Oreochromis niloticus: one gene and its partners. The protein of the gene in region 1 interacts with the protein of each later gene in a pairwise test. Links are inferred from orthologs where the notes say so. Each region holds a gene or a part of one and is shown in the gene's direction. Other genes may lie near its edges. The genes, in order: khdrbs2, ewsr1b, heterogeneous nuclear ribonucleoprotein R and ncoa5.

Evidence for each region.
Region 2: the proteins of khdrbs2 (region 1) and ewsr1b interact in a two-hybrid assay, tested with the Homo sapiens proteins (2 studies listed by BioGRID and IntAct). The two-hybrid records come from large-scale screens. The link is inferred for Oreochromis niloticus from reciprocal best matches to the Homo sapiens genes KHDRBS2 and EWSR1.
Region 3: the proteins of khdrbs2 (region 1) and heterogeneous nuclear ribonucleoprotein R interact in binary tests that used the Homo sapiens proteins (3 or more experiments, as listed by UniProt). The link is inferred for Oreochromis niloticus from reciprocal best matches to the Homo sapiens genes KHDRBS2 and HNRNPR.
Region 4: the proteins of khdrbs2 (region 1) and ncoa5 interact in a two-hybrid assay, tested with the Homo sapiens proteins (2 studies listed by BioGRID). The two-hybrid records come from large-scale screens. The link is inferred for Oreochromis niloticus from reciprocal best matches to the Homo sapiens genes KHDRBS2 and NCOA5.

The regions. Positions count from the first base shown.
Region 1 is NC_031978.2:20,112,398-20,119,997, reverse strand, and holds the start of khdrbs2 (KH domain-containing, RNA-binding, signal transduction-associated protein 2), read left to right. Parts: upstream 1-4,596; 5' UTR 4,597-4,974; coding exon 4,975-5,065; intron 5,066-7,600. UniProt on the Homo sapiens protein: RNA-binding protein that plays a role in the regulation of alternative splicing and influences mRNA splice site selection and exon inclusion. Binds both poly(A) and poly(U) homopolymers. Phosphorylation by PTK6 inhibits its RNA-binding ability.
Region 2 is NC_031977.2:18,649,603-18,656,468, forward strand, and holds the start of ewsr1b (EWS RNA-binding protein 1b), read left to right. Parts: upstream 1-3,864; 5' UTR 3,865-3,965; coding exon 3,966-3,981; intron 3,982-4,454; coding exon 4,455-4,491; intron 4,492-4,797; coding exon 4,798-4,849; intron 4,850-5,052; coding exon 5,053-5,203; intron 5,204-5,349; coding exon 5,350-5,545; intron 5,546-5,642; coding exon 5,643-5,899; intron 5,900-6,017; coding exon 6,018-6,174; intron 6,175-6,866. UniProt on the Homo sapiens protein: Binds to ssRNA containing the consensus sequence 5'-AGGUAA-3'. Might normally function as a transcriptional repressor. EWS-fusion-proteins (EFPS) may play a role in the tumorigenic process.
Region 3 is NC_031985.2:16,818,772-16,826,674, forward strand, and holds the start of heterogeneous nuclear ribonucleoprotein R, read left to right. Parts: upstream 1-4,887; 5' UTR 4,888-4,986; exon of another isoform or gene 4,987-5,096; intron 5,097-5,752; 5' UTR 5,753-5,756; coding exon 5,757-5,913; intron 5,914-6,006; coding exon 6,007-6,125; intron 6,126-6,242; coding exon 6,243-6,350; intron 6,351-6,488; coding exon 6,489-6,602; intron 6,603-6,789; coding exon 6,790-6,966; intron 6,967-7,133; coding exon 7,134-7,269; intron 7,270-7,397; coding exon 7,398-7,603; intron 7,604-7,697; coding exon 7,698-7,847; intron 7,848-7,903. Other genes in the region: atp5if1a (ATPase inhibitor A, mitochondrial), read left to right, coding at 2,508-2,579, 4,028-4,140, 4,222-4,363. UniProt on the Homo sapiens protein: Component of ribonucleosomes, which are complexes of at least 20 other different heterogeneous nuclear ribonucleoproteins (hnRNP). hnRNP play an important role in processing of precursor mRNA in the nucleus.
Region 4 is NC_031970.2:8,753,719-8,761,405, reverse strand, and holds the start of ncoa5 (nuclear receptor coactivator 5), read left to right. Parts: upstream 1-4,674; 5' UTR 4,675-4,827; intron 4,828-6,381; 5' UTR 6,382-6,440; intron 6,441-7,687. Other genes in the region: capza1a (F-actin-capping protein subunit alpha-1), read right to left, coding at 779-841, 933-1,004, 1,091-1,169, 1,309-1,388, 1,476-1,682, 1,821-1,884, 2,234-2,285, 2,377-2,440 and 1 more. UniProt on the Homo sapiens protein: Nuclear receptor coregulator that can have both coactivator and corepressor functions.

The DNA.
Region 1 (7,600 bases):
GACGTAAAGTGACACAAAAATAACGCCATATACGGACGGCTATGCTGCATTTATGTGCAGTCTGAATGTAATAATGCCCCTTTTCACTGAAGTACTTGGGTGTTGTAATGTAGTTTTATTGTGAAAACAACGTCTGAATTTTTGGAGTCGTGTGCTTGGCTCGATAAAGGCGGAGCTAAAACAGGGCAAAAAGAGGACAGAGTTTAACAAATGGTCAAGCAGTTGGACTACATAACAGGTGGACATGTTCACATGGGCTAGTTTTCACCAGCTGCAGGTTATATCATAGGCTATTGAATTCTTAATATATTATGTAGGGTGCATGTAGGGTACCCAAAAAAGGATCTGCAAACGAAACAACTGCTGAAAAGAAAGCAGAAAAATTAGAATAAAGTTACTCTTATATTACTAATTTTTACAGAGAATCATCAACAAACTTTAAAATACAAACTTTTATAAAAGGAAAATATAGCTCCCTGAAAATGTGAAAACAGATTAAAGCAAACAAAAGGAGATAAACAACTTCTTCTAAACTAATTTGAGGTTACACAGCGGTGCTCTGGTGTTATTTGCCTTACATTAAAGCGTTGCCATACATTTACATTTTTAATGATAGTGTTATCAGTCTGTCAGTAAAACGTATAATGTTGCACTTTGACCACTAGAGGGCTGCAAGAGTCCATCAAATGCATATAAAGAAATATACATAAAAGTTATGATCAAAAGAAAACGTTTGTTATAATTGTGCTGTCAGTTATACTTTGATAAAAGTATTTTCTTAAAGAAATTAAAAGAAGTTTAAATTTTACTCTCACACACAGAAAGCTAAACTTAAAACTAAATTTTAAGTTCTGACCCTAGTAGTTCTGTTGATGGACTATAAATAAAAGATGGATGTTGCCACCGTGGAATAATAAACAGTATAAAACATGGACATGATTTATGGGTCAGAAATATGAACCCACTGCAGAAGTGTCTTGAACCTGCATTCTAACTATAGGTCACCAGATGGCGATAGCTGTTGTTTGCAAAAAAGACTTTGGGTCATGTTGAGGTTTCTCATGTAAAGTCATGTGCACATTGCTCAATAGTTGTCTGCCATATTGGGCATGATACCACCACTGGTTGGTAGAGAAAGGTACAACTTTTACTTTGTAGCAAATGATCTACATTTCTGATGTGCTTCACACTTTTTACTGTTTCACTGCAGCTTGGAGAGCAGCTGGGAAGTGTTCATGGAGAAAACCATCTCTTTCATTCAAACTAGGACCACAGCAATATGCTAGCAACCAAAGCAATTGGAAGGAGTTATTTGCTAACCAGTTGGTGAATACACATTTTTTCCCTAGCAACAGGTGGTTGCCAGATGGTTACTAATCACTCTCTGCTTGTGTGACCAGGGCCTTATTCACTTGATCCTACATCGTTACTGTATATTCTATTGTCACAAAGCCAAAAATGGCAGACATGTTAACATCACATGGTTAGTGGTCACATGTCTGTAAAACCACAATAGAAGTCTATGGGGGGAAAAAACGCTTTCTTTCTTACCTTAGTGAATACTTTTTTGATAAGTTAGTGGGCTAAATTAATGCTTTTGGGTCACCTGGACTAAAAGGGTATGTTTATTTTTTTCAATCTTGGTATACTATTTTTGAAAAAGGAGCATTATTTGTGGTATTCTTTGGGTAGGTCTGCACAGACCTTCACCCCTTTGTCACATGCTATCTGAAATATCTTATACTGTGGATTCAAGTCTTGAAACCTCAGAAACCAATGGATGACATCATGGTAGCTATATCTACCATTTATGTAGTTGATCGGTGTCATAGAACACCACGTTTGGACTAGTGGTGAGTAACAGACTAATAAAAATACTAGAATCGTACTCAACTGAATTAGAAAAAAAAATTTAAAAATTCCATCGAGTGCTGGTGTGCTATATACCTGTCAGTCTTTTTACCATTTACAAATATGGTAAAGAGGACCAGTGTCTCAAATTAAGCCTAGCGGATATGGACAACATCTCCTTGTGTCTGTGGACCTGTCAGTCAACGCAATCGCATCCTTAACTTTAAATCTTTCCAGTATCCATATGGATGAGTTCTTAAAAATAAAAAGTTGAAGTGAGAAGAAATCTAACAGGTTCCTTTTTTTTATGCAGTAAAATTTGGAATGTTAAGATTTGAGTTTTTGGAAACTGATTTGCTTTTGCCTCTCCACTAATAAATGCCAGTTTGAGTCTTGTGTTGGCTTAATTTTGGAATATTTTTCATCTCGTTGAGATGATGAAAGAAAAAAGTTTTTCTGTAGAAATCTTTAGAAATCTATTAAAAATTATGGTTTGTAATAAGGTGTCTATGGGTTTTTTGTTATTGTTTTCATCTGTTGGTGTGTGTGTGTGTGGTGTGAGTCTATTTCAATATGCCTGCATTAGTCTACATCTACAAACATACTATAGACTTACAAGACTCAAACACATTAACCGTCATAACCCTCATTACCATTAATAGTCACAGCAGCAGCAGCATGATTTGCATTAACACTGTCATAAATCATTTTATTGAATAGAATTAAATCAGTGAAGGTCCAGCGAGCATGAAATGCAAAGACAGTACTGGCCAACATGGCCATAGCTGCTTGTTTTAGGCTTTCAAGAAGAAAAATAAAGCTGTGTCTGATTTCATAGAGAAAGGAACTTAATGAAAAATAAATGGAAAGGGGATGTAAGTGTGAAGTTTTAATCAATACTAACTCCTTTAAGGCTTGTTTGGCATTACAGAAATAAGCAGATTAATGAAATAGTTCTGTCAGACAAACCCACTTGGGTATTCTGGCCTCTAAAACAGTCTTTTAAATCACCCTAAAAAGCCATAAAAAAGTCATACTCTGTAATCTTCAATGCCAATACACAATTTAAATGAAAGAAACCTTTGGCTCAGTTTTATGGATATTTCCAGCCATTAATGTACCACAGAGCACCCCAAAACAACAGCACTAGATTTCCAAGACAAATGTCCTGGTTTCTCAGAAGATATTAAATTCTACCAAAACTGAGAAGAATCATAAATACTATGAACATAATTGACTCATATTCACAAAGCATTGCTGTTTGCAGCCGCGAGGAGCCTTTATGATTCTGATCAGTGCGGGGAGAAACAACTCTAAAGGTCAAGTGGAGCCAGAATTGGTCGTTCACCAGCCTCATCTGCTCAAATCTAATTTGTGAGTTAGTAAAGCAGCCTGCATGCTGTGCCGAAGATGACTTTTGGATTCAAGTCAATATCATGGCTTGGGGACAAGAGAGCCATTTGATGAGATATAAACATTCATGCTTACAGTGCTGACACCACTAACACTGGCTCTTGATGAGTAAGTGAAGAATTCACTTTATTATTAAATATCTATTTATATTAAAGCTTCTTTATGCCAAGTCTGCCACTGACTATGCAATCAGCTAAAGCTCTACTAGAGCTGACCTTCTTCAGCCATAAGAGGGGATGCAGCTCAAAGGATGTAAGGAACTGACATAAGTTCATTAAGTAACATGGAAAAACTAATTAATGGTTTATTTGGCATGCATACCTTTAAATATATGATTCACTCTGTAACAATACAGCCAAACTTCCTTGACAGCAGCAATGTCAAACTCATTTTGTATCATGGACCAGATACAGCCCACTATGATCATAAGTGACCTAGACTAATGAAACTCCCATGTATATCAGTATAAAGAAGTTTAATTGCACATTTAAACCTTGAGACATTTTAATATAAGAAAAAGAATGTTCAGTTTTAAGAGTACATCTCGGTTTTTCTACATTATAAAGAAATGCTTTTGTGCACAATGGATACTGTGGAATGCATACACAGTGTGTCAACCCCCCCTCTGAGAAATTTTTGTGGTAGACAGTACAAAACACAAAAATAGCATCAATAGCCATGTGTTAAACCTTTATCAAAAGACAAAAGTGTAAAACTCACGAAAATACAGTTAAAAGTTAAAAATCTATGCCTTTGTTGACAGTTTCCAAGGCTGTCCAGCGGGGCAGGATTAGAGTCTTTGCCAGACTGATTCTGGTCCCTAAGCCTTATGTTTGACACCCCTGTTTTAGCGTGTGGGACAGAGTTAACGAAGTGGATCATGTCATGTGGAGTGTGAAGAATAGTATGCTGTATGCTAATTTAGGTTACCCGTAAATCTAAGACAAATTAGATATGTACAAACAAATCAGACAGCAGCCAGTGTTTAGCACCATGAACAGTTGTGTTGTCCCTCACAGGTGAATGCCTGCGGGCTACTTTGTACTGACTTTGTAGTTACTTTGAAACTCACGAGCTGCATAAAAAACCCATTTAATTAAGCGACATTTATATGGTACAGTCTGTCAGTGCAACAAAACTTTACTAGCATGCTTTATTTGTTCTGTTTGAGTACTATATCCAATATTATTAAAGTTTCCAGTTGAAAAAAAACCGAGAATCTATAGTTTCGGGGTGACATTATTTCATAGACCGTTGTCAGCAGCGACCAAATGCAACCCCATCCTTTTAAAGCAATTCCCTTAAAGAACACTGAGCATTTCCTTTGCGCTCAGCGGGGACCTTTCTTGGTGTTTCAGCAGCGCCAGTCCCAGAATATGGCCAATAATGTTGCTGAGGGGCGGGGAGCAGCGCGGTCTGCAGACCCACTGAGTCTGGCGGGGTGCCGAGGAGAGGCAGCAGGCAACGGTAGCAGAGATGGGCTCACACCTTTGAATCACAAATCAGCCCCCCCACCCCTACCCCAGTCAAGCATCTCGGGAGACACTGGAAGACCAATTTTTGGAGGGGGTTTTGCTGGTGTTCCTCATTAAGACCGGTAGACTACAGCTACCAAGAAGCAGGAGCGGCAAGGTTTATAGTTGCATTGTGACGTTCAGCACTCCTGTCGTCTCACCTGCACTGCCGGTGAAGAGGTCCGCTGTGATAAAGATGCATCCAGATAAGTACCTACCTGAGCTGGTGTCCGAGAAAAACAGCCTGGACCCCTCCTTTGTGCATGCGGTGCGCCTGCTTGCAGAAGGTAAGTCAAGTATATATGTGTGTATATATAGAAAATATTATTTTTTTTTCAAGTCTAATGCACTCTGAATGTTGGACTTGGCGACAGTCACGATGTTCATTCTAACGTGAAAGCACAATTGCATTGAATTTTGGGGCAGTACAGTGAGCTGATGTGAGCTTGTTTTTAACACATCACTCTTGACTTTTAGTGCTTGCGTGGCGACAGTTGAATTCTCTGTGCTGTGCGTTTAATGTAGACACTGCTCTTCGGCTCCAGTGAGGAACTTTTGTTGGGTTTTCCCCAAAACTTCAAGTGAACAAATGCTGTGAGCAGAGACACTAAAGTATGTGTACAGTCAGAGGGGGTTATTGTAACCCCACTGTCCGCCAAGATCAATGCGCTGGCTCGCATAAAGCGAATGTCTTCCTTGAGGATTTCTCATTGACTTCAGGGCAAAAATAATAAAAAAGGTGCCACATTCGTCAGTCCAACAATCATAGTACTGTATTAAGGTAAACGTGCTCTTAATCCTGTTATAATACTGTGTGCTGCCAGCCAATATTTTTTCTGTAAAATATGTGAATTGTGTGGTCATTTATCAAGCCAAATATCACCTCTCTAATATTTTAATTATTCCACGTGAGCTAAACCTTGGAGGCTAAAATCAAAGTGTTTGTAATTATTGCATCATGAGTCATAGATTTCTGACTGAACGAAAATTGATAGATGCACACCTCCTCTTACAGGATAAATGCCATCAAGGTAATGGAGAACAGAAAATGTCAGTGAAACATGCTGTAAAGCCTTTCCTCCAGAATAATGTTACTGTATGTCAACAGAGTGCCGCAATCAGCCTGCAGCATTTAAAGTACTTTGTAGCCTTCATCTCATTCACATGCTGAGAATGTGTCACTTCTGATAGGAAGTGTGTCACCTCAAAGCGAACACAAAAACTCAGCTCAGCTCATTCAGCCCAGAGATGCAACTTTTGCATTTCTCGTATAGACTGCGTGGTCTCTCTTCCTGTAATTGCACAAGTCTGGTTGATGTGCAGTGCTATAAAAGCTCGGATAAACGTTTGAGTGACGTGCTACTGGAGTGAATGGCTGAATGATTATCATAAATGTGAATGGATGAACCTGCGTGGCCTTACCAGGAAAGACAAGACAAACCAAACATGACAAGCAAGCAAACCAGTTAGTAACGTATTCCTCTACAAAACAATATATCAGCCATAAAATGACAAAATTAAACATAAAATGCCATCATATGTTACATGACTGTAAAACACTCAGTGAAACGCTCTCTACTGTTTTTCCTGTGTGCTAAACATGTTATCACTAGTGATTCTGAAGGCAGTTGATTTAACTAATTTATTAGATCATGCATGTATGCTAATTTTGGGTTCTGACATGTTTGTTTAAAAATGTAAAGTCACACTTTGTGTTAATTAGCTGCTGGATGGGGTGTGTGTGCACTCTGCTGTTCGGCCCCTTGAGCTTTCCTGTTGAAATGTGTTGATGAGACACCTGACACTCCCATTCTTGTCGCTAACTGGGATGCAGATGGGATCATCTGTCACACAGTACACTTTGCCATATGTACTCAAGCCTAGCTGACGCAGCCAGGATGCAAACAAAGAATGCCATCTACCACTATGAACTGCAATTAGCATGTTACATGAGGATACCTATGTATTTTCTTTACTAACTTTTTTCTCTGAGCAGTTTTAACAGTTCACAACAAATACACACACTACAATGCCCCATAATTAACAATACAGTACAGTCTTCAATATTACAGTACAATACTGTAGAAAAAGTAATACATTGGAATGCATTTGTCTGAGAAGAATGCTGTTGGCAAAGTCAGTAAACAGAAACCTCTCTGTATTCATCAAACACAAAAGTGGCCAATCAGTATAATAAACTGTCAGTTCAGTCAGTCTTGCAATGTCCAAAACAATCAGCCGTGGGCAGCATGTGAAAAAATGTTCAGCACAGACTTGTTATCTTGTGTTGTCAGTCTATGCTCATGGATAATGCAAAAACCCTGCGTATCGGTGGACAGCAAGATAAACTGCGTTTACAGATTTACAGATTCGCAGCTATTTATCACTGAATATCAAAGGATGTAATCCCGTGTTATTAACATCATGCACAATCAATAGCATAACATGGATTAACCGTGGTCACAGTTAGCATCTCCATATTTATGAAATGAATTATTTACTGTTTGTGTTTAAGTTATGTTGCTTCTAAAACCGTTTGTCTTTCTTTGAGCTGATTTAAAACTCTTTGGAACAAAGCTCCAGTCCGCAGCTGTAAACTACGGGTGGGTGGGGATAATTCTCTTGTCGAGCTGAAACTAAGCTTCCTCTTATGAAGCAGCAAGGGTTGTTAGACAGAATATATGAATAGATTGGTATATTATACAATCAAAACTGTATGCAGAGTATTTTGAAACTGCTACAACTTTCTTCCACAATCTCAAATGCAGATTTTTTTTTCTTGGACATGCTGCATGAGGCTAATGATTCCTCAGACTGACAGA
Region 2 (6,866 bases), on another chromosome or scaffold:
AGCCAAACTTCAGTAACCCTACAAACGTCACTGCTGTTTAGTTTTCTGTCTTCATTTATGTTGGAAGTGATAACAGAGCTGTACGTTTTAATTTGTTTCCAAAACCCCGCAGTCAGGACATGCTATGTTGTATTTAGATAGAAGCTAGCGAGCTAACTTCCTGCTAACTTCTAGCTCCGTTAAATGTCATAAATTCCGTTTTCATGGATGCCTGGATGTTAAACTCAGTTGTTACACCTGGTAGAGAAGAACGCTGATCATTTTATTAAAGATGAAAGACTTTAGACCAGGGGTGTCCAAACTTTTATCCCTGAGGGCCACATACATAAAAATATAGGAGGGGCTGGGCCACTTACTAGAAATTAGGTATATAACCTTAACTGTAGTGTATTAATGTTAGAAAAATCATTTAAAAGTGGTCAAATGTGTTATATTGTTGAATATAATTAAAGACAAAACTGCCTTCATCACAGCTTTCCATAAATGGATCTTTATTGATTTATTCAGAAAAAGCTTTGGTAGCTCATTCTCAGAACAGCAGCAGATTTCTTCTTGGACAGAAGATTTACAGTACAGAGGAAAAACAATAAAGGGGAAAATGGGACGGGTACATTTCAAGCTTATTATTTAAGTTCTTAGGCTTAGCAACACACCTATTAACGTTCGTTTGAAACGGTTATCAACATTAACAGATTGAACTGGACTTAATAACAGGAGTGCATATAATTTTAGTAAATTATTCTGGTGAGTATCAGCTGCGCTGGGTATGTAAATCGGGCCATCCAGCCGCGGTGCTCATCGTACGCCACTCGTGCCAGAAATCCGGACAAATGTCACTTGATCAAGGAGCAGATCTGCATCAGATGAGATCAGCTGACTTTGCGTGTGCGTGCGCTGTGCACAGCGGTGTGTACTCTGTGTGTTAACAAGAAAAACGCATATAAGAAAGTGGTGCGCAAAAGCAGGGTAGTGACAGAATTGATACGCATTATTGATATTTGAAGCATGTGTACCTGCACATGCATGCATATTAACACGCGGGTACTGTGGAATGTAGTTTTTACTCACCTAAAGTGCTCGTGCTCTCGTCCACTCCCCGCAAAAAAATAAATAAATTAGCAGCTGTGCGGTGTCTGTGGCATCGGTGCTCTCATCGCATGCGATGGAGTAAAAATCAAAAGCACAGCTTTATCAGACAGTTGCAGTTTAATGTTGGCTGACAGTCTTCAGTGCGTGGCACAACTGTATTTCTGGACATGCTGACGTTGTTGAAGTCCTGCACTTTTTCCGGGCACATTATTTCGGTGACTTTAACGAGGCAGCGTTTTATGAGGTCTCCATCTGAAAAAGGCTTGCCATGTCTTGCGATGAGTTGGGCGACCTCATAACTGGCTATTGGAGCCTTTTCCTGGACAATTTGAGCACGAAAAAAATACTGTTGCTGACCCCGCAGGATAGCTACCCTTTGCTTTAATTTCTGCTCTCGCTCAGCACCAGTGTAGGATGCATAGGCCTGATGTTTGGTTTCATAATGACGTCGTACATTATACTCTTTCATAACTGCCACAGTTTCAGTGCAGATCAAACAGACACACTTCCCCTTTAATTCTTTGAAAAAATATTCACTCTCCCACCGTGTCTGAAATTTTCTGCACTCACTTTGTAGCAGCCCTTGGCATCAAGAATGACAAAAGAGTCTCTAACGGGTGCAGCCATTTATTTCCTCACCACACACGCCTCATTCTCTGGACATTGAGCACCGTGAAAACTATAAAACAAGAAAAAATTGATACCCGTACAGTCCTTTTGAAGTATAACAATGAGCAATAACAACAATGAGCTCAAGTTAATTCAGGTAAGTTCAAACAAGTAATTCTGAGATATACAGTCACAGATTAAATAAAACAAAAAGGGGTTACTTCAAACAGCATCAAGGGGTTACACAGTTCGGTTAAATAAAATATAACAACAGATCACCTCTCATCACATACCTCAGTCCGCTTGCCAAGGGTGCAAACTCCGGTGAACACTTAAACACTTCGGCCCGTTTCTCATGGGATGCTGCTAGCTTGCATGACACACATGTCTAAGATGGACTTTGTACAACTTATTCCTGCCGCACGACAGACCGCTCATACACGTTACGGGGCATGCCTCTGAGCACATCTGTCCTTAGTGCGACTGCGCATACAGTTCCGACAACCCCCGCAAGGATGACTTATGGTACAGATCAGCGGTTCATTACACACTTTCTACTAGTGATGGCCCGCTTGAAGCTGACGCTCCGGAGCGTGTGTCGAAAAAAACAACACACTGGTTCAGAAGCACTGTGTCGAGGCTTGCTTCGTTTAGCAAAAGTCACGTGACCAGTGACGTCCGAAGCTTTATTACGCACGCAACTGCTTCGGTATCTGATTCAAATGGAACGAAGTGAATCATTTGCGGGATTTGTGGAGTGTGTTGATGGTGACAGATAGCGAACCACTGATCATTCTACTGAGAGATTTGGTTCTGTTGTGTGGAAGTATTTTGAGTTGATTCTGGTCAATCGGGTGGGTTTTCCAGCTTTGTGTTCTGGCTGTTTGCTTTTGTTTTGTGCGTCTTTATTTTATCTGAAAACGGGAAAAACTTAAAATGTAAAAAATCTGCTTTTCATAATATAAATATCAGTAAATAACTTCCATTTGACTCGTAACATTTAATGTTATAAAAAGATATATTTTATTTAAAAAAATAATCTTACAATGTTAGTCTACAAAATGTGCAGCAATTTAATTTATTTATTCTCTTTAGCCGATAGTTTGTGGAGCCATAACTGCATCTCTACCAGTTTTTCTGCACTCTAGCCTCTTCTCTTCTGTGCCATGTGAAGGGATTTTCCTTAAGGCAGGAGAAATTATCTCCACGAAAAGGAACAGATTCGTCCATCGCACAGTGGAACTAATTTTCTTCTTAAATAAAAATGAAAAAGGGTTTCCTTAAATGCATCATGTTATTAATTTGCAAGTTCATAAGCATTTTCCCTTTCCATTTCACAATCAATTCTACCCCCAGGTCAAAAATATGTATAGGAAAATTTCCCTAATATAATATTATTTATAAATATACCCGTCTAGAGATTAAATGCATAAGTACATGGAGGCAGGACCTCACAGCAGAAGCATACTGCATAATGTGCATTATTATATGTATGTTATATGTAACGTGGTATTTTTCAATTATTGTATTTACCAACATCAAGAAGTCACAAGCAAAGAAAGACCAAACCATGGTGCATGTTCACACAAGGAAAGTTTACTTGTCAAAATTATTTATTAAACAAATAAACTACATTTTTTAACACCAAAAAATACACGTTCAAAGCAACACAACAGCAGCCCAATATGAGACAGAGTTCCACTCTGTATAGTGGGCTATCATTATGAAGCAGTTGGTTTTATTTTGTGGATTCAAGCTGCTCTTCATATTTTTGGCCACCAGATGTCACCAGAGAGGACTGTGTTGAAAAGCTTCGAGTAATGAACCGTTTTTCAATACAAGCTTCAGTGCTTCAGAAAGCTTCATTTGGCCATCACTGCTTTCTACCTTTTGCTTCTGCCATGTTTGGTAACTTGGGGTAAATTTCTTCTGTGATTGTCCTTTTTGGTAGACCAACTGCCTTGATCAACAGTAGCTCCCCCTGGTGTTAAAACTAAGAAGTGCAATACACTCAAGCAAAAGTTGAAGTGCGGGCCATTTTCTATTCTATTTATAAAATTACTTGAGGGCCAATTAAAAATGGACCGCGGGCCAACTCGGACTTTGGACACCCCTGATCTAATCTGATTTGTAAACCTGTAATGCTTTCGCTACAACAGCCCCCAAACAGTATCGCGTTATGTCGCGAGATTTCGCGGTTGCCGCGAAGAGAGTTGCACTTCTGCGGTAGCATTCTTCGTCCATTCGTCTCTTATAGGCACACTAAAATGGCGTCTGCTTCGGGTGAGTAAAAAAAAATGCGACAATTACTGACTTTTAAAGTAAATTTTGTTATTTATTGAAACATTAATTTGCATGAATGTATCCTAATTGTGAGTATGTTTGCATAGTTCGTCTTTTTTAGCCACTTTTCTTTATTGAATAACATGAACCCAGTTCCCTCCGCGTCCGAGGCCTAGACAAGTTAGCACGTCGAGTCTTTGTGGTATTTACTCCGGATATGTTTTTTCATTTGCGCACACTGGGTTTTTCCGCATATTACCGATTTAAAATGAATCCTGTTTAACGGGTGCGTCGATGTCTGACTGGTTTCGTTAGCTGTGAAGTAGTGTTTAGGTTTAGTGAATGGCTCAGTTGTCTCGGTTTTGAATGGCGACATAAGAACGGGCCTGTAACGTGCGGCTCGCGCGCTGAGATCTGAGACTCTATTGTTTTTTGTTTTATTTTTTTAAACTAACCTTTTTCCCCATTTTCAGATTACAGCTCCTACAACCAGACCGGGGCTCAACAGGGGTAAGATTTTTCAGTTAACTTTATTAAAATGGCTTAGAGATTTTTAACCATCCAATATGACCTAATTCTTTCGAAGAAAGGAAACAAAGCGGAGATTAGGGTGGATGCAAATGTAAACCTGTATAATTTTTTTTAAAAATCGATATCCAAACATGGATTACTTTTGGTGTTTTTGTGACCTTCTTTAGGTCGTAGTAAACATCTTTTAGATAAAGACCATTTTTAAACAGTGCACAGCATGATATGTTTTTTCAGGCAGTACCCAGATTTCTGGTGATCCTAAAATTTTGATGCATATGTTTACAGGTATGCTTCCTATGCTGCCCAGCCCTCACAGAATTATGGACAATCTGCTCAGGTACCATTATTGATTTAATTGTGCAGATTTGATCAAAGCATGCCTTGTGCTTAAAACATTTAATGATTGTGGGGAAAACCTGGGATGGTTATTTGTTTACTGCTGGCAGTCATAGGTTGTTTGTGCTTTAAGCAAATGGAGCTTTTAAATAATGCTTAGTTGAGGTTTATTTTGCCTAATGGCTACTGTATTTGCTCTTTCAGCAAAGCTATGGCCAGCAGAATTATGGCTCATATACCCAACCTGCTGCAGCAGCTGCTGATAGCAGTTACAGTCAGACAACACCTGCAGCTGGAGGCTACCCCCAGCAGCAGCAACAGTATGGATCTGGATCATATGGCCAACCAGCATCAGGTCAGCTTTTGTTTTTTTTTAATTATTCTGTTGTTAAACAGTCAAATTACAATGTGGCAAAGCTTGTATTGATTCCTGAAAAATTAACAGGAATGAATATCAAATTTCTTTTTTTCCCTTTGTGATATGTGATGTCTTTTGTACAGCTGGCTACCCTGCTGCCCAGTCTGCTACTCACAGCTATTCACAGTCAACCCAGGGTTACGGAGCCAGTGGTTATGACAGTACTCCTGCTGCTGCTGCTCCAGCTGCCTCCCAGTCTTATGGCTCTCAGCCAGGATACACGGCTCAGTCTGCCTACCCTGGTTATGGCCAACAGGCTGCTCCCACTGCCCCTCAGAGGTATGGACATCTCATCTGACAACAACAAAACATGGGAATTCCAGAAGAACATGCTTATCGGATTACTTGCATTCTGTCTTTGCTTTGTCTCCATCAGTTACAATGCTAACAGCCAGCCAGCTACTTACAGCCAGAATAGCTACTCCCAGCCAGCAGCATATGGTCAACAACCTGGTTACCAAGGCCAGCAGGCAGGCTACAACCAGCAGCAGGGATACCAACAGCAGACCCAGCCACAGCAACAAGCTCCTCCTGCTTACCCTCCTCAGGCCGGTGGATCATACGGGCAGCCTCCAGCCAACCAGTACAACCAGCAAGGTGGACCACCCAGTTACAACCAGTCCAGCCATTACAGTAAGCTTTGCTTTCCTCCTGCCTAAACAGCTGTTCTCTCAACTAAACACATGTGTTCAATTCCACTGTGATCATTCTGTGACGACTGCATGTTTTGATGTTGTTGTTCCTCTTGTAGACAGTTACAGGCAGGATGGGCAGGGTGGAGGTTCTGGTTATCCAGGCTCTGAGCCTACGCGGTACCCTGGAGTAGGGGAGAGCAGGGGCCCTGGAAGGGACTTTGACCGAGGTGGAATGATGCATCGTGGGCGTGGAGGCATGGGGCGCGGCATGGGGTAAGTGTCTTTCTTAAGCACTTAATCTCACATTTATTCAGTCTCTGCAGGTGCCGTTGCCATTTGAGGCAGAGCTGAGACAAACCCTGCTGTAACATCAGAATAATACAGTAAAACATAACGGCAGTCTTGTAAGGGGAATTTATTAGTATTTGATACTGATTCATCAGCAATCAGCGCTAATGAATTGCATGTATCTAGTATAATACATGCAGTGGCATATGTTGTATAAGAATGAGTTTTGTCTCAACCCTGCCTCTCTCTTGGCCAAAGGTAAGAAGAAGGAAAAAAAAAAGTGCAGATTTTGATCACAGACCTGTGCATAAAATTTAGGTTGGACAGCTTATATCCTAGACCATGATTTGATTACTGGGCAGTATCAACAGTATAGGATAGAAAAACGTAGTTTCAGATTTCAACGTTTGTCAGGGAACATGGTACAATCTGTAAGAATATCTACATAAATACATACAGAATTCTAACCCTACTTTCTTTAGTTTCCCACCAGTTCAGTTTCTCAGCATGCTGAATTATTCTCTATAGGGTGACTAACTGGAATAATACAGTTAGATGCTGGAGTCTAGTCCTGTAAGGTCATATCACGACAGGTATTTTAAGAAATGTATAAATGGACGCTGGGCTCATGTAGCACATTAAGTTCCATTTCACATGCCCGTTTGTGTTTTACTAGA
Region 3 (7,903 bases), on another chromosome or scaffold:
GAGAAATCAGTAAATCTGACACTACTTGGTTTTGTGCAGCAGTAAGTGCGTCTAAATATTTGCCAGGAAAAAAAGCTAACTCAGCAAGGAATTCATAAAATGCAACAAAAACAAACCAACATTACCCTCCAATTTTTTATTTTTTATTTTTTTTAAAAAGGTCCCAAACCTTTTGTCTTCAACATGTTCTTTCTATTAAAAGGTTTGACATCATTTGTTCTATTCAGTATGCAAATTTAGTCTATGGGGTTTTTGTTATGTTTCGTTTTCCAGAATAGCTGCTAGCATTTTGACTGTTATAAAAAAAACCTGACACTTATTAATAATTGTTCATTTTTACTATAATTGTGTCCTTCTGAATACAAATCAATTATGCATAGCTTTAGGCATTGTTGAATTTCATTTTAAATCTCTTTTTTACCCTCTAATCTCTTCCCAAATTGTTTTAATCTTTCTGCCAAGTTCAATGAAACAGTTTTCCTCTACCCTTTGTGCATGAACTGCATATCTCCAGTATATTTTTATTACAGCAATTAATCTTGGCTTGGGTTACATATGCTTTTCTGCTAAGATGTGTACCCACTGCCTCCTACTGTATCTGTTGGATAATAATCAGAACATTGAGTTCATTCTTCTCTGATCATTCTCTTGTAGGCAAATTCATGTGCAGACAGTCTTTGTCTTGCTGCATGACCCACTTTCTCTTAAAACTGTGGCCTGGAATATTTCCTTTAGAATTTGCTGGTATAATTTGGACGTCACTGGTTTGTCAGTAATAGCAAAACAGGTCCAAGTTATGTATATATACACCACCACGTTTCACAGTTGGAGTAAGGTTCTTATCTTGGAAAGCAGAATTCATCTTTCTGCCAAAAATGCTTTTCATTTCAACTAACTCTCCAGTGTCACCCAAAAAATAATTTTTTCAAGAGTTTTCTGGCTTGGCCATGTATGTTCAGTCGTATTCTTTTTGGAAAAAGGCAACTTTCTCCTTTCAAATGTGAGGATGAAACCTGACAAGATGCTCACTAACACCCACTGTGAGCCCATAAGATTCACCTAAAAAGTGACAGTTAGTTCCCTATCAAATCCCTAGCAGATCACGTTCCTCAATAAATAAAGTCTAATTTATCAGGTTTTTTTCTCTCATCTTTTAATTAGGTTCTGCTTATCTCAGCTTATCTGCTTGTTTTTGCAGTTATGTTGTGCTGAGGCATCCAGCACACATCCTCTCTTCTTTGCCAGAAAAAGACTTGAACTGAATTAAAAGACTTTGTTCTGTTTTCAAAATAATCTTTGGCTGATATAGATAAATATCAAGGAAATGAGAAAGGAGACCATCACAAAATTTAATATATAAATATACAGAAAATACTAGCTTTGGATTTTTGTGCATGATGCCATGATAATTAATCCCATTAATATCTGCGAAACAACCCAGTTGACTTGGATTGTTGAGTGTTATGTGCTTTGTTTATGAGAAGCTGTAAATAAGGCGTTCAGCGGTCCCTCTTTAAGTGGGACTGCACAGCGTTGGCACTCCTTCCTCTGCTGTCCCACATCTTCAGATCACATCCCACATTTTCACTTGCTGCACAGGACACTATTCTAAAGCCTGGCTCTTACTCAGTGTGTCTAAAAGGAAAAACTTTTTATTTTCATTCAGACGTTACAAGTTACCAAAAAGTCTCAGCACTGGTAACGTGCACCACTGTGTTTGTCCCACATTAAGTTGTTGGGATTTGGTCATCTCAGCTGTAAATAGAATATCAGTCCCCTACCTGCAAGATGGTGTTTTCTACAGCCCTCCAAATCTACTGTCAGATAGCAAACATCCAGATATTTTAGGAAATTTAAGCATCCATCATTCTGGGTTAACTTCAGCTACACTCCATAAGTCCATATCCAGAGAGCAATAGATAAATATAGATAAAAGATATATATCCTTAAAAATATGAAGGATCGGGCTCAAGGTCATCTAGATTTCTACATATTGGAATTTTAAATGTCACTTTTTATTCTTTTTATATTCATTTATTTTTAGAAAATTAATGACAGTAAGGATTTGAAATTTAGAACTTTTCTATTTTCTGCAATTCCTATCACCTGGGATTATGTCCAGACAAATCTGAAATGTTGTGGTGTGAGGCATTTGAGAAACTGGACTGATCCACTTGAAATTACATTTAATGTGTATGCACGCGATTTGTTTCTTAGATCTTATGCACATGACTTCTTGACTGTAGAGCTAAAAAAAAATCACCTGAAAGTGCTGAAACAAGCTGAAATACGAAATTTAAGATGGAGCCATATGGACGTAACTGCTGCACTTCTGCCCCCTCGCCGGGTGGTGGCAGCAGCAAGCGCGCATGTGCCACAAACGGTATTCTCCACGCCCATACAAGGCGTTTACTTCAAATTTCCGCATTTTGAGCTAAAAGGACAAGTAGTCGCACTAAACTTTTCTCTGCTGTGGTGCAGTTGTTTTCGCTGTTATTTGAGTGGCAATGGCCAGACTTCTTCTGGGGGCAAACCTGAGGAGATGCGTCGCCTCTCAGATCAGAATGGCATCTGATCAGGTAAACTTTGGTGGGTTTGGTGACAGTTTTGGACGTTAGCAGCTAGCTCGCTAATGTCTGCCATATCGGTAAAAGGCTGGCGAGGAAGCCAGGTGGTAAAAAAAATGCGACTTAATTGGTGGAAAAAGCAAACAGTGATGTTTGCAAATAGAGGCGGCAGAAGATCCCCCATGGCTGCAATGAAAAACACGCAAAATGATGTATGTGCAGTTTTATTTACCCCTAAACACTTTACTGACTCACTTTTTTGCGACATGTCAGTTGGTTTATGGCTATATAGACTAAGTTTGTGACATTAATTGTAATGTTGTTCTTATGAACAGGATAAATATTGTTATCCCCGTTTTAGTTGTGTAAATACCTGAAATAACCTGCATTTATGTGCAAAACTGCGGAAATGCGGCAAGCTCTTTATCTTGGAAGGAAAAATTAATTAAATTAAGCTTTATTCATTGTTTCAAACATACATTGTTGCTGAAAGGAGTCCGTGAAAGAAGTGAAAAATCTAACCTTACTGTGTCATTTCAGTTGAAGGTTGGCACACCTTATTCAGACTCCAGTGAAAATGGTCAAAGGTCAAAAAGATCACTGTAGTCTATTCCACATTCTAAACACTCAGTATGAGCTGCTGCACACTTTCTTCTTCTACTACTACATCCAGCTGCCTCCTTAAGAGGTTGTCACAGCAGATCGATTGTCTCCATCTCACCCCATCCCTAAAGATCCTCCTCTCTGCATCTTCTTCTTTACTATTCATGACCCTCCTCTGACATCTTCCTCTTTTCCCCCTGCCTGCCAGCTCCGTCTTAAACAGCCTTTATCCAGTATATCCACTATCCCTCCTTTTACACATGTACAAACCATCTCAGCTTTGCTTCCCAAACTTTTATCTCCAAACTGCTCGACCTGAGCTGTCTCATGTCTGATGTACTCATTTCTAAACTTGTCCGATCTGGTCATCCCAGTAAAGATCTTTACATCTTCAGCTGAGCCTCCTGTCATTTTGTCAGTGCCACCATCTCCAAACCATACATCATAACAGGTCTTGTCTTCTAAATCTACCCTTTCACTCTTGCTGCTATCCTTCTGTCACAAAACATTACAAACCGAACCAGTTTAAGAACTCTAGTTCTTCTATCATCTGGAATTCTTAACACCAATCTAAATAGGCTGAGGCTACACAGGTTGTGCTTTTTGTTTTTTAAAATATGTCTGTATCTACTTGTGTTGTAGACCCATTTGCACATATGGGTCTAGAACACAAATTGGGAGTCCCCATCAGGATGACAATGGGATTAAAATGGATCTGTGTGACCAAGATTTTAACTTGTGATGGATGAGCGTATACTTGTGGGTCAGATGAAAATAAATGCACTTGTCTTGATTTACAAAAATGCTGGTCCTAACATGTGCTTGCACTTTGTGATGTGTTTTGTTTTTTCTTCTAGCTTGGTGAGTTGGGCAAGGGAGCTGGGAAAGGTGGTGGTGGAGGAGGCTCTGTGAGAGAGGCCGGAGGTGCATTTGGAAAGAGAGAAGTAGCGGAAGAGGAGCGATACTTCAGGTAAATACTCCCTTGGATTTTTGTTTTTTCCCCACAACACTTTCACCCATTAACTTTTATTTTTATTTTTTCCACTTGTAGGCAGAAGGAGAAGGAGCAGATGGAAGCTCTGCGGAAGCATCATACGGAGGAGATTGAGCACCACAAAAAGGAGATTGAGCGTCTACAGAAAGAGATCGATCGCCACAAGGGCAAAATCAGAAAGCTCAAACATGACGACTGAACCTTGTTATTTCTCCTTAGGAGTCCAGACTTATCAAAAGGTTAATGGTCATTAGGCATTGATTTTTTTCCTGCTTATGTAAAGCAGGGGTCATGCTAACACTATAACTTCAAGAACAATGAAATAAAATGATTAATTTTCACATGTATCCAGAATTCATTGCCTCTACTTTATTGCCAAACCTTTTTTTACTTTGAGCTTTGAATTGTTTATTAGAATAAGGAGGCTGATCCTCTTTGTAGAAATGTGGCTCCTATTGGGTTAAAGCGGTGCCAGTTGTAGTTCATTCTCCGTGGTTGGATAGCTGATGAAGCGCTCGTTTTTCATCCCAGCGCTACTCGGTCAGTTTGGGTGTAAAGCCCTTTTGAGCTTGGCCCGGTTATCGCCTGGTTTTGTTGGCGTTAAGCTCAGCTCACTTCATACCTTATAAGCAGTAAGCATACGTCTTAAACTTTGTATAAGCGTCAGGTTGTCCGATACGAGCACGCCCGGCCTGGCCTGTCAAAACGAACATACCCGCCCTCACTCGGCGAGTTTTCGTCCACATCTCGCGATGGTTGCGAAGCAGTGGCGTTGTTCGGGCGAGCCGACGACGAGACCGTATCTGTCTGGAAATTTGTCTCGTGGGTTAGACTCAAACATATTCCGCGCATTTAGACACTATTTGTATGTCCGATAGGCTAGTCGTTTCACGTTTTAGCACCCGTCGGAGTTAGTTTCCTGAATCGCTCTGGTGAGTTTCGCTAACTGTGTGTTTGCCCGTGTACGGGGCGCGCGTGTACTTGATTTGCGAAAGGTGTCTTTCTGCACGGCGAGGCCTTCGTATGTAAGCTCGTTAGCCAGCTAGAAAGCTAACCATCATCATTGTTTTGTTTTTTTCGCAAGGGCAAGATAACGTATTCGGGGATCCCGCGTGACCAAAAATGCTGTAAAATCTATCCAGCGTTGTCTGCTTGTAGAAGAGGGTGTTGTGGGGTCAAAAACATATGGACGTAAATGCATAAAAAGAAAAGCATTCATCTCGCTGGCTTGCAAGCTGCATGTGAAGGGGGGCGGGACTGAGGCTGTACGTGTTTTCTTGAAGTGACCAGGTTGTTGTTGTGCAGTACATTATAACGTGTCGACGCCGATTATAGTTCGTAAATTACATTCATAAGAACTACAGTTCCAGTGAGTCCTATTTTTAAAAAATTAAATGGAAACCATAAAGCTTGTAAATCAACTTGATTTACTGCACTTGAGTTGATGACATACATAAAGATTGAAGTGTAGTTTAGGATTGTGGATCTTTCTATTTATTGGTCTGATTTTAAGTAAAATAACCTGTTAAGAAGAACCATTAAAACATTAAAATTAAGTAAAATGTATTTCTTTGCTTTGCTGCTGAAGGAGAATGGCTGCTGCTGAGGTAAACGGTAGTTCTGCCCCGGCAAAGGAGGAGGAAGAGCCCATGGATGTGACCACAACACACACAGAGAACTACCAGACCCTCCTTGATGCTGGGCTGCCCCAGAAAGTAGCTGAAAGTCTAGATAATATCTTCCAGACAGGTGAGCGGCTGTATGTTTATTTCCACTAAAAGAATAATGTATACCTGCTTTTCTGTAGCTAAGCCTCATGCTGAACATCCATTGTACCCGTAGGCCTAGTGGCATACGTTGACCTGGACGAAAGGGCTATCGATGCACTGCGGGAGTTCAACGAGGAGGGAGCGCTTACTGTGCTGCAGCAGTTCAAAGAGAGCGACCTGTCCCATGTACAGGTATCCACATAGGCGAAAATGAATAGAACCCATGTCTCTTTGCCCTTGACAGGAGTTTTAACTTGACACAAATTGTTGCAAATTAATTATCTCGTTTGTTTTTGTTTTTTATTGCAGAATAAAAGTGCTTTCCTTTGTGGAGTTATGAAGACCTACAGACAGAGAGAAAAACAAGGAAGTAAGGTACAAGAGTCCACCAAGGGCCCAGATGAGGCAAAAATAAAGGTAAACAAAGTCATTTGGCTAAGTTTTTTTGTGTAGCGGGTCAGATTGAATGTCATATAAACACGCCTCTGCAGCCACAGCTCAGTTAATGTTTGTTTTGTGTGTGTGTGTGTGTGTGTGTGTGTGTGTGTGTTTCAGGCCCTGTTGGAGCGCACAGGATACACCCTGGATGTCACTACAGGCCAGAGAAAATATGGGGGTCCTCCACCTGAGGATGTGTTCAAAGGCACTCATCCAGGCAGTGGAACTGAGGTAGAGAAGCAATTAAAAGATAAAATATAGGATAAAATTGTCTGTCATGATTTCCAAGGCTGGGTTTTGTTATTTGAGTAAGACTAAGAAAATATGAGCTACAGTGTCATTCATAAAGACTAAAAGCGTAATGTTTTGCAAATCATTACGCTCGCTCACATTTCTTTCCCCTCTGTTCACTCCTCAGGTTTTTGTTGGAAAAATCCCCAGGGATTTGTATGAAGATGAGCTGGTGCCACTCTTTGAGTCTGCTGGTCCCATCTGGGACCTCAGGTTAATGATGGACCCTTTATCTGGTCAGAACAGAGGTTATGCCTTCATCACATACTGCAATAAGGATGATGCACAGAAGGCTGTGAAGCTTGTAAGTAATGTCGCGGGAAATATCAGTCCATATTTTTAACAGCTTGAGGGGAAATAGACTTAAAGGTTTACTTATTGGAAAGTGAAATAACTTGTGCTTCACAGTGTTTTCAGCTCCTTTCACTCATTTGTTAACTTGTCTGTTTTTTGTTTTTTTGTTTTTTACAGTGTGATAACCATGAAATCCGCCCTGGAAAGTACTTGGGAGTTTGTATATCTGTTGCAAACAATCGGCTGTTTGTCGGATCGATTCCAAAGAACAAAACAAGAGAAAGTATATTGGAAGACTTTGGCAAAGTGACAGGTTTGTTTCTAACATGCAGGTTTTTGTTTCTTAGAGACTCATTTAAACAAATTATCAGTGCTTAAAAATGATTGATAAACGCACACAACAACGGTTGTGATAGTCAGATGTTATTGTTTGCCTCACAGAGGGTCTCCAAGAGGTGATATTGTATCATCAGCCGGATGACAAGAAAAAGAACCGTGGTTTCTGTTTCCTCGAGTATGAGGACCACAAGTCCGCGGCACAAGCTCGCCGTCGCCTGATGAGCGGCAAGGTCAAAGTGTGGGGGAACCCGGTCACTGTTGAGTGGGCTGACCCTGTAGCTGAACCAGACCCAGAGGTCATGGCTAAGGTTAGCGATTTTAGTGTCTCATTGTTTAATACACATCAGGCACGCTCTGCATTCCAGTGTGACAAACATACTGTTTCCTCTGTTATTATTATAGGTAAAGGTGCTCTTTGTGAGGAAGCTGGCAACAGCAGTGACTGAAGAGCTTCTTGAAAAGACCTTTTCCCAGTTTGGAAAGCTGGAACGAGTGAAGAAATTGAAAGACTACGCTTTTGTCCATTTTGAAGAGAGGGATGCTGCCGTAAAGGTGAGTTTCTCATGCTTTGGCCAAACCTTTTTGATTGTGTGATGATTCTGTGTGTT
Region 4 (7,687 bases), on another chromosome or scaffold:
GTTGTTGTGATATACATATGTAATTGAAAAGCACGTTTATAGTTAGAAAAGGTTCTGGTCTCTACAGAGACTCTCGCATGTCATACCAACTGTGTTGTGGGTGAACTTCTTTCTATATCTCAGTCAATAAATTAAACACTGTTAACGTTTAAAGTTACAGAGCTTGAATGCTTTGACTAACAGGTGTGCTGACAGAGACAGCTATAGCCCGTTGCTGTCTGCTAGACGTCACCTCCACTAATTACAGTTTGTTTGCGCTGCTGGTGCCTTTTGAAGCTTTTTTTAAAAGATGGAAAACAGTTGCCTAAACAGTGATGTTATGCATATACAGTCCTTTGAAATAGCTGTCAGTTCCAGTTAATAATAAACATGCGTTTTATTTTTATTTTATTTTACAATGTTCACTCAACACCTGAAAATAGATGTAATTATTTAATTAATGATTCTGATTTCCGACTATTTAAAACAACACCTTTAGTCACTTGTTTTATAACACTATGGTGTATATACCTAAAAATCTTGCGGTGGTCATTTGGCAGCCAAGAGTGCTTACAAAAATAATGCCATTAGCAGCTTCACTTACCAACTAGGAAATAAAAAAATAAATAAAAAAAATGTGTGTTTCGATCAGTCTTCCCCTTTTAAAGATCACCTATTGTTCTATGCACAGCTTGTTGAGGATCTTAGCCAGTAGGAAGTACATTTTATACAACTTGCCACAGCTCTTCTGTGGCTTTATTAATTTTTTTTCTCTCAAACTGAGGCAATTCCCACATACCTGGTACTCATTTTCTGCATCTTCAATAATTTTTACTAACTCCTTTGCAGTCTGGCTCTCGTTCTGCCAAAAATAAACATACATGAGTTAAACAGATCCAAACAAAATCAACGTGTTCTTAAACTTTAGCCCACAGACATAGAACAACACTTACAGACACAGTCAGTGATTTCTGTACATCTTTATGGCTGACCAGCTGCACATTTCCATCCTCATAATAATGTACCTGTGGTAAGGAGAGGAAATACAACATTGAAACAAAACTAATATCAAGACTATTCTTAAATTCCACCAAATAAAAACTTAACATACCTGTATTTTCAAGACTCCGGCAACCTGTGCTGTAGGCTGTGAGACACTGAACTTCCACTCAGACCGGCAGCGACCGTTCCTGGTGAAGGAAAACGCAGAAGGCTATGCTTGAAAGACGATCCCAAATGCATAATTACGGATACACTACATCAACATAATTCTTTGGGAAAATCTGATAAAGACATTTAGAAAGAGATCATTATCCTTTCTCAACTTACCAGAAGTTTTTAGGCTCATATTGATGGCCCTCGATACAAGCGATAATGGTCTTCTGGCCATCAATTGTTTTCCCATAAACCTGAAACAAATAACCAGGAGTGGGTGATTTATTATGCTTAAACTCAACATGACAGCCATAGTGCAATGAGAGAGGGAGTGATCTTACGGTGGAGACTCCACTGGGGTAGTGCTCCTTGACGTATGCCCTAATAGCAGAGTCACAAGCATCTCTCCATGAGCTGAGGGCTGCCTCGCCCTGATGGGGCTGAGGATCGCTGGCCTCCTTCCTCAGGTGGTCAAACTTGAAGGAGATCTTGTTGTGGGGGTCAAAGAAACGGCCATTACCCAGGTCTCCATGCTCTGTTATCAGAACCTGCAGGAGACCAGACAGACAAACCTGCTGTTACCATGGGAGTTCATTCAAGTATCCTAAGATAAATTAAATTGTAGATTCAATAATAATAGCAAATTATTTGAATGCTTAAAAAAAAAGAAAAAGGCCAAAACTTGCCGGCTCTTCATATCCATCAATTTTGGCACGGGTGAACTGATCCATGTTGTACTGGGCAAAGGCACTATAACAAAAGACAATATAACCATAAGCTGCATTCATATCTATAACATTGTTGTTATTCTTAGATTCTAGAGTAGTGCTACATGATCTGATACTTGGCCCTTTTTGACCATGTAAAGAATAGCAGATCTTAATGACATCATGGAGAACCACGAGTAGCAAAAAATGTCTGAAATTCAGCAGTTACTACAGTCTGAAGCCTGAGATTCAGCTTTGGACTGCATAAGCATGTCATCTCATTATTTGTAACACTGACCATGTTCCAAATAATGGAGGAGAGTAGAGTAATAATTGGTTCCCTTTAAAAAAAAAAGAAAAGGAAAAGAAAGAAGCTAAAGAAGGAAACTTACTGAGCTGCACCCTCTCTGAGGAGATTATCATTGTTGAGCAGGAGTCGCACATCTGAGAACAACAAGTAGTGGAAGACAACCATAAACACATTTTTCTTTGCACATGGGTTGCAGTTAGTACACAAGGTGTAACCGGGGTTTACCGTTGAAAACTTCATTGAACTCTCCTGGAGGAGCATGCATCACAAAATTAGCTGCGATACGGACCTGGAAATAAATAAGACATGTTGTCATGAAAAAAATAAGAAAGAGTGCCACATCATCAATGGGAATCTGCACTTCATCTCTAAGAAACTTTGGTGTTATTTAGTCTTGCTACAGTATCCATTTTTATAAAGATACAGATATAGTAGGCAATTTATATGAACAGATTAAAACCTGCAAATAACCACTAGAGTGAAGCAGAGAGTACTGGGTACTGTACTGTACTGTACTGTAACTTTCTTGGCCAGAGGCTGGTTAGCTCTATTTCAGCCGCTCCTTAGATGGCAGTACATGTCATCCAAGGGCTTTTCTTAGCAGCCACCCAGTATGCATGTGCAAGCATGTGGTGTCAAAGCCCTAGAAAGAAGTGACTGAGGCAGGTACTATGCTCTCATAAAGTAATACTCAATGAGGACCGCAAGTTGTACATTTATACCAGGCAGCTCATTGTAAAATCTGAAGTTAAGTTGTTCTCTATAGAGGTTACAAGTTCCCTTTTTTAAAATCACGAATTTGCCACCTTCACTGTATCCCTTTGCTAAACCCATGACGTCACTATCACATTGTAGTATGATTTTGCCAGTGATGCTATCTGTCAGGCAGACAGGATTATTAAAGCCTTCAGGCTGCAGCTGGCGCTGACCTACAATTGGGCTGTCCTGCTGAAAGGGCAGAAGGACATTACAATGAATAACCCAGTTTAAGAGTGGTGCAGGCATTGTGGCATTCAGAGCATACAGCACACTCTCAGGCTCAGACTCAGCTTCTCCATCGTGTATTTCAAACGCAAATGAACACACTATTTACGCAGACTCTTCAGAAAAGTTAAAATGTATTATTTTAGTGTAGATATCACACCAACCTATTAATCTTATTTCGAAAGATTCACTGAAACTACTTAAATAGTTAAGCTCCTGGCCAGATATCAGCTTCAGGAATGCAATGCGCTATTTTACAACATGTTGCAGCATGATACAGACAGCAACACCAGTCACTGCAAGGCTCAGTAACACTGCAGGGAGACAGAAGACCTACCCTCCTTATGCGTTTCTAAACCAAAAATAAGTATCGGGTCTTCAGTGCATAAAATACCCACAAACTCATTTGTGTGGGTCAAGCTTTAACGTCCGACGTTATCAAAACCGGTTGAGGAAGCTAAACGTGAAAGTGAACAGGGTGTGGGTGGTGTTTTGCTATCGATGCTCTGTCATTATCCTTGGTGTAAATGCAGGAAGTAGCTGGACTTCCTTCGATTTAACAGTTGCCAACCACTGCAAAGTTAAGAGCAAAATCAGAAATCGACGTTAGCCGTACGCTGAATATGGCTGCTATTTAAAACGAGTAATTTAGTTAAGTTACTCTATGTATAAGAACATAACAGCTTCAGCTCCGAGCTGTCAAATACAGCCCTGCCTAGGTTTAGCTAGCACCCAACAAACACCTACCATAGCCCTACTGGTAAATTCATACGCGACTTTAAAGATCCCTCCGAGGTCTGCAATTGTTCACGACAAAGGTTAGAGCTAAACCGTTGTTATTGTGAGGATTATTAATATAGCAATACCTTCTCTTCATCGCTGAGCTCTTCGAAATCTGCCATCTTGGCTCAATGAAGCGTTAACAAAGCGACGGTGGATGTTGCCAGGTATGTGGGACTGACTCCTCCCAACACAACGACCGCCCAGTCCCGGAAACCGTCTGCCCGAGCCGGTAAAACAACAACGTTCACGCTGCCGTGAGCACGAATGTGTAGATTTAGACAATAATTATAATATTAGCATATCCTCATACATTTTGGAAATTAACATGAAGTACATTACATATTATAAAATGCCGAAATTCAGGGATTGTAATGCTTTGTTTATTTTTACGTACAAACCGAGGGGACAACATCTCAACCTGGCAACCTTGCTACCTTCCAGTCATTTGAAGCAGCTAAGCTATACTGAGTCAAAATAGCGTGAACTGATTATTTTTATTAATTAAGCAAAACATTGCAAAAGAAGAGAGACTGGTTTAGAAAATACAATACAAATTACAACGCATATATGCAAATTATTATTTAATTTCCTTTATATAATTTGTTAGAGGGTTAAAAAATACTCCGTTTAAAAAAACCGTATATTTTTCTGGTAATTATTTTTAATGGTTCAGGCTCTAAAGGTCTAAAATTCGTTTTATTGATTCGAAGGGCATACTGCACGTATTTTATGTTTAGCCAATAGGTGGCGATATATAGGCTAAATGAAATGGTAGTTACATCCACACAAGGGGTAGAAGAAGATATCAGGGCCAGTTGCTGTAACTAAAGTGAAGAAGAAGCGCAGCATTGTGAGCGGATAGTGGTTGTCCGTGGGTGGCTGAAAATTAACACGAAATAGACTTTGAAGGTAAGCACATAGTCGCCCTGTCGTTCTTGCTATAGCATTGCTTGCAGCGAACCGTGGATCGTAAAGCATTTGCAGGCGTAACTGTGAACCTATCTGTTTGGTTTTAACGTCCCTCGTTAAGGTAGCGTTAAGAAGCTAACCGCCGACATTAAGCTAGCTCTATGTAGCTACTCCGTAACCACGCTATTAAAACGTCTCTCGGAATGGCGGTGTATGAGAGTATTGCTTTTAATGTTAACCGACTTAGTTTTATGAGCAGTGTAACGAGTCTATTTTTGGATTACATAGCTGGTGCTGTAGCGTGTAAATCGTTATTTATGAGGCGGCCGGAAAGCTTTGACGAAGAGTCCGAATCGAAAGCAACATTACGAGCCGCGGTCGGATTTGTGTTGCTAAAAAAGGCGTTTGGTGAGAGGTGATACACTTGACTGGCATTTGAAGTTTCGCAGTGCTACTTTGCTTTGCTGGTTATTCAGTTATTTTGTTTAACCTTCATTTATACAGACGATCCAATTGAGATTATAATGTCTCATTTACAAACATGCTTCAAATTTTGTTCATTTATTTTCTCCAGTTAAATCAAGGCACGTGAAATACTTACAGCTAATTGACTTTTTTGAGGTTTCTTAAAAAAATATGTCTTTGTTCCTAGAAGCAGCTTATTTTTAATACTTAAAATGACTTGTTGGTAATCATAGGACAGTGGCCAAACCGGTTTGAACCGAAGGCAATATTAAGTCAAGTAACTATTTGTTACAACCAACGTAAACAAAAGGGCATCTTTGATCGCACGAAATCTCAAACCTTGGTGCAGATGGGCTACAGCAACAGAAGACTACACCAAGTGCCATGCCCATCAGCTAAGAACGGGAAACTGAGATTACAGTTTACACAGGGTCACTAATATTGGTCAAGAAATAGAGTAAAACATTGCCTGGTTTGATTAGTCTGGTGTTCTGAATTTGCTGTAACTAACATGAAAGTATGAATCTGGCCTAACCTTTATCAGTGGTTCAGGCTGGTGTTGCTGGTGTGATATTTTTGGCAGGATATTTTCTTGGCACATGTTCTTTGGTATCATTTGAACATTGTTTAGCCACCCGGACCTACCTGAGAACATCTCAAACTAGTTTCTTGAACATGACAATGTTGCTGTTGACACTGTGCTCTTGGCCTCCACAATTACCAGATCTCAGTCCAATAGGGCACCTTTGGAATGTGGTGAATGATGAGGTTTGCATTGTGGATCTGCAGCCGACAAATGTACAGCAACACTGTGATGTTATCATGTCAATGTGAACCAAAATCTAGGAGAAATGTTTCCAGCAACTTGAATTTCTTCCATGGGAAATTGAGGCAAAAAGGGATTTAACCTAGTTCTGTGGTGTAACCAAGGTGTAACTAATAAAGTGGCTGGTGTGGAGACTTGTTATTGTGAATCAATTTATTCAATAACTTTCCGAAAGGCTGTTTGAGACTATATTTTAGAGCATTTCATTTGATTAATTTCATAAGCTTATTGTAGTGTTTGTATCTTCTTCTTTTTTTCCCCAGACACACTAGTTTCTAAATTCAGTGGATGCTGAATCCAGGCTATCCAGGTTCAAGTTAAGGTATGTAAGGAGCTGCTTCCTGAAAGGTTTATGTAAATTCCTTCAAGTATAAATGCAATGAAACTCTCTCTGGTCTTTCTGCTGTATGTATCTTGAGACCGAAAAACCTCTTGCGGTTCTGTTGTCCTGAAATAATTTTATATTGCGTTATCTAAGGTAGGGCTGCACAATTAATCGTTAGAAAATCGCGATCTCAATTCATACTTATGTGCGATCTCATTTCCAAATGACAATGATTTTTAAAAAAAAGGAAAAAGATGACGATTGTACCGCATTTTGATCCGGGACATAATCTGCATGAAAACAAGCGCTCACTCTTCCTGCTCAATAAATGACAAGGGCGGAGCCTTATACCACGTGAAACAGAAGCCAGTTGGCAGGGTAAAAACAATGGAGAGCACGTGAGAGATGACGAAGCTGTAAAGGCCAAGAAAGTGACAGGAGAAAATCCGTCCCGGTCAACCACCCAAACATCAATAATGGGAACCGTATACAGCGTTTCCCCATAGCCGTCGAACTCCCGCAGGCACAAAGAAATTACGGAGGCTATCACTTATCACCTGGCTAAAGATATGGCTCCCATCAACACTGTGCAAAACGAGGGATTTAGGAAAATGATCAACACCCTAGACAAACGCTACACAGTGCCGTCCTGCAACTATTTTTTCAAATGTTGCACTACCTGCTCTATACACGCAGTGTCGAGCAACGGTGGAGACGGAATTACAAGCAGTACAACATTTTGCGGCAACGACAAAATGTGAGACATTTATTGTTTTTATGTTTATTTATTATTTTTATGTTCAGTCTCAACTGTTACGAAGTTGATGTGCAGTTAATAAGTGCAATAAATATTTATATTGGAAAAGAAAATCGTGAGAGAATCGTGATCTCAATTCTAAGCAAAAAAAATCGTGATTCTCATTTTATGCAAAATCGTGCAGCCCTAATCTAAGGCACATAATACGCACATTTCTCCTAAGGACTTTTAAGGAAATTGCGCTGTTTTAGATTTTGGCATTTTCAGAGTGACCCCAGGAACGTGATTTCATTTCAGCTAATCTGATTTTCTTCAAGACGGCGTTATTTCAAGAGAAGAGGACTGCATTTATTTCACAAAGGACTGTTGTGAGACCCAATGGGGCTTATTTTTCTCGGATGGTGTGACTTTAAATTTGCACCACGAACCTTCTAAAATATTTCAGTCGTCAACTATAACTAGAATATATCTCACTCTGAATCCTGAA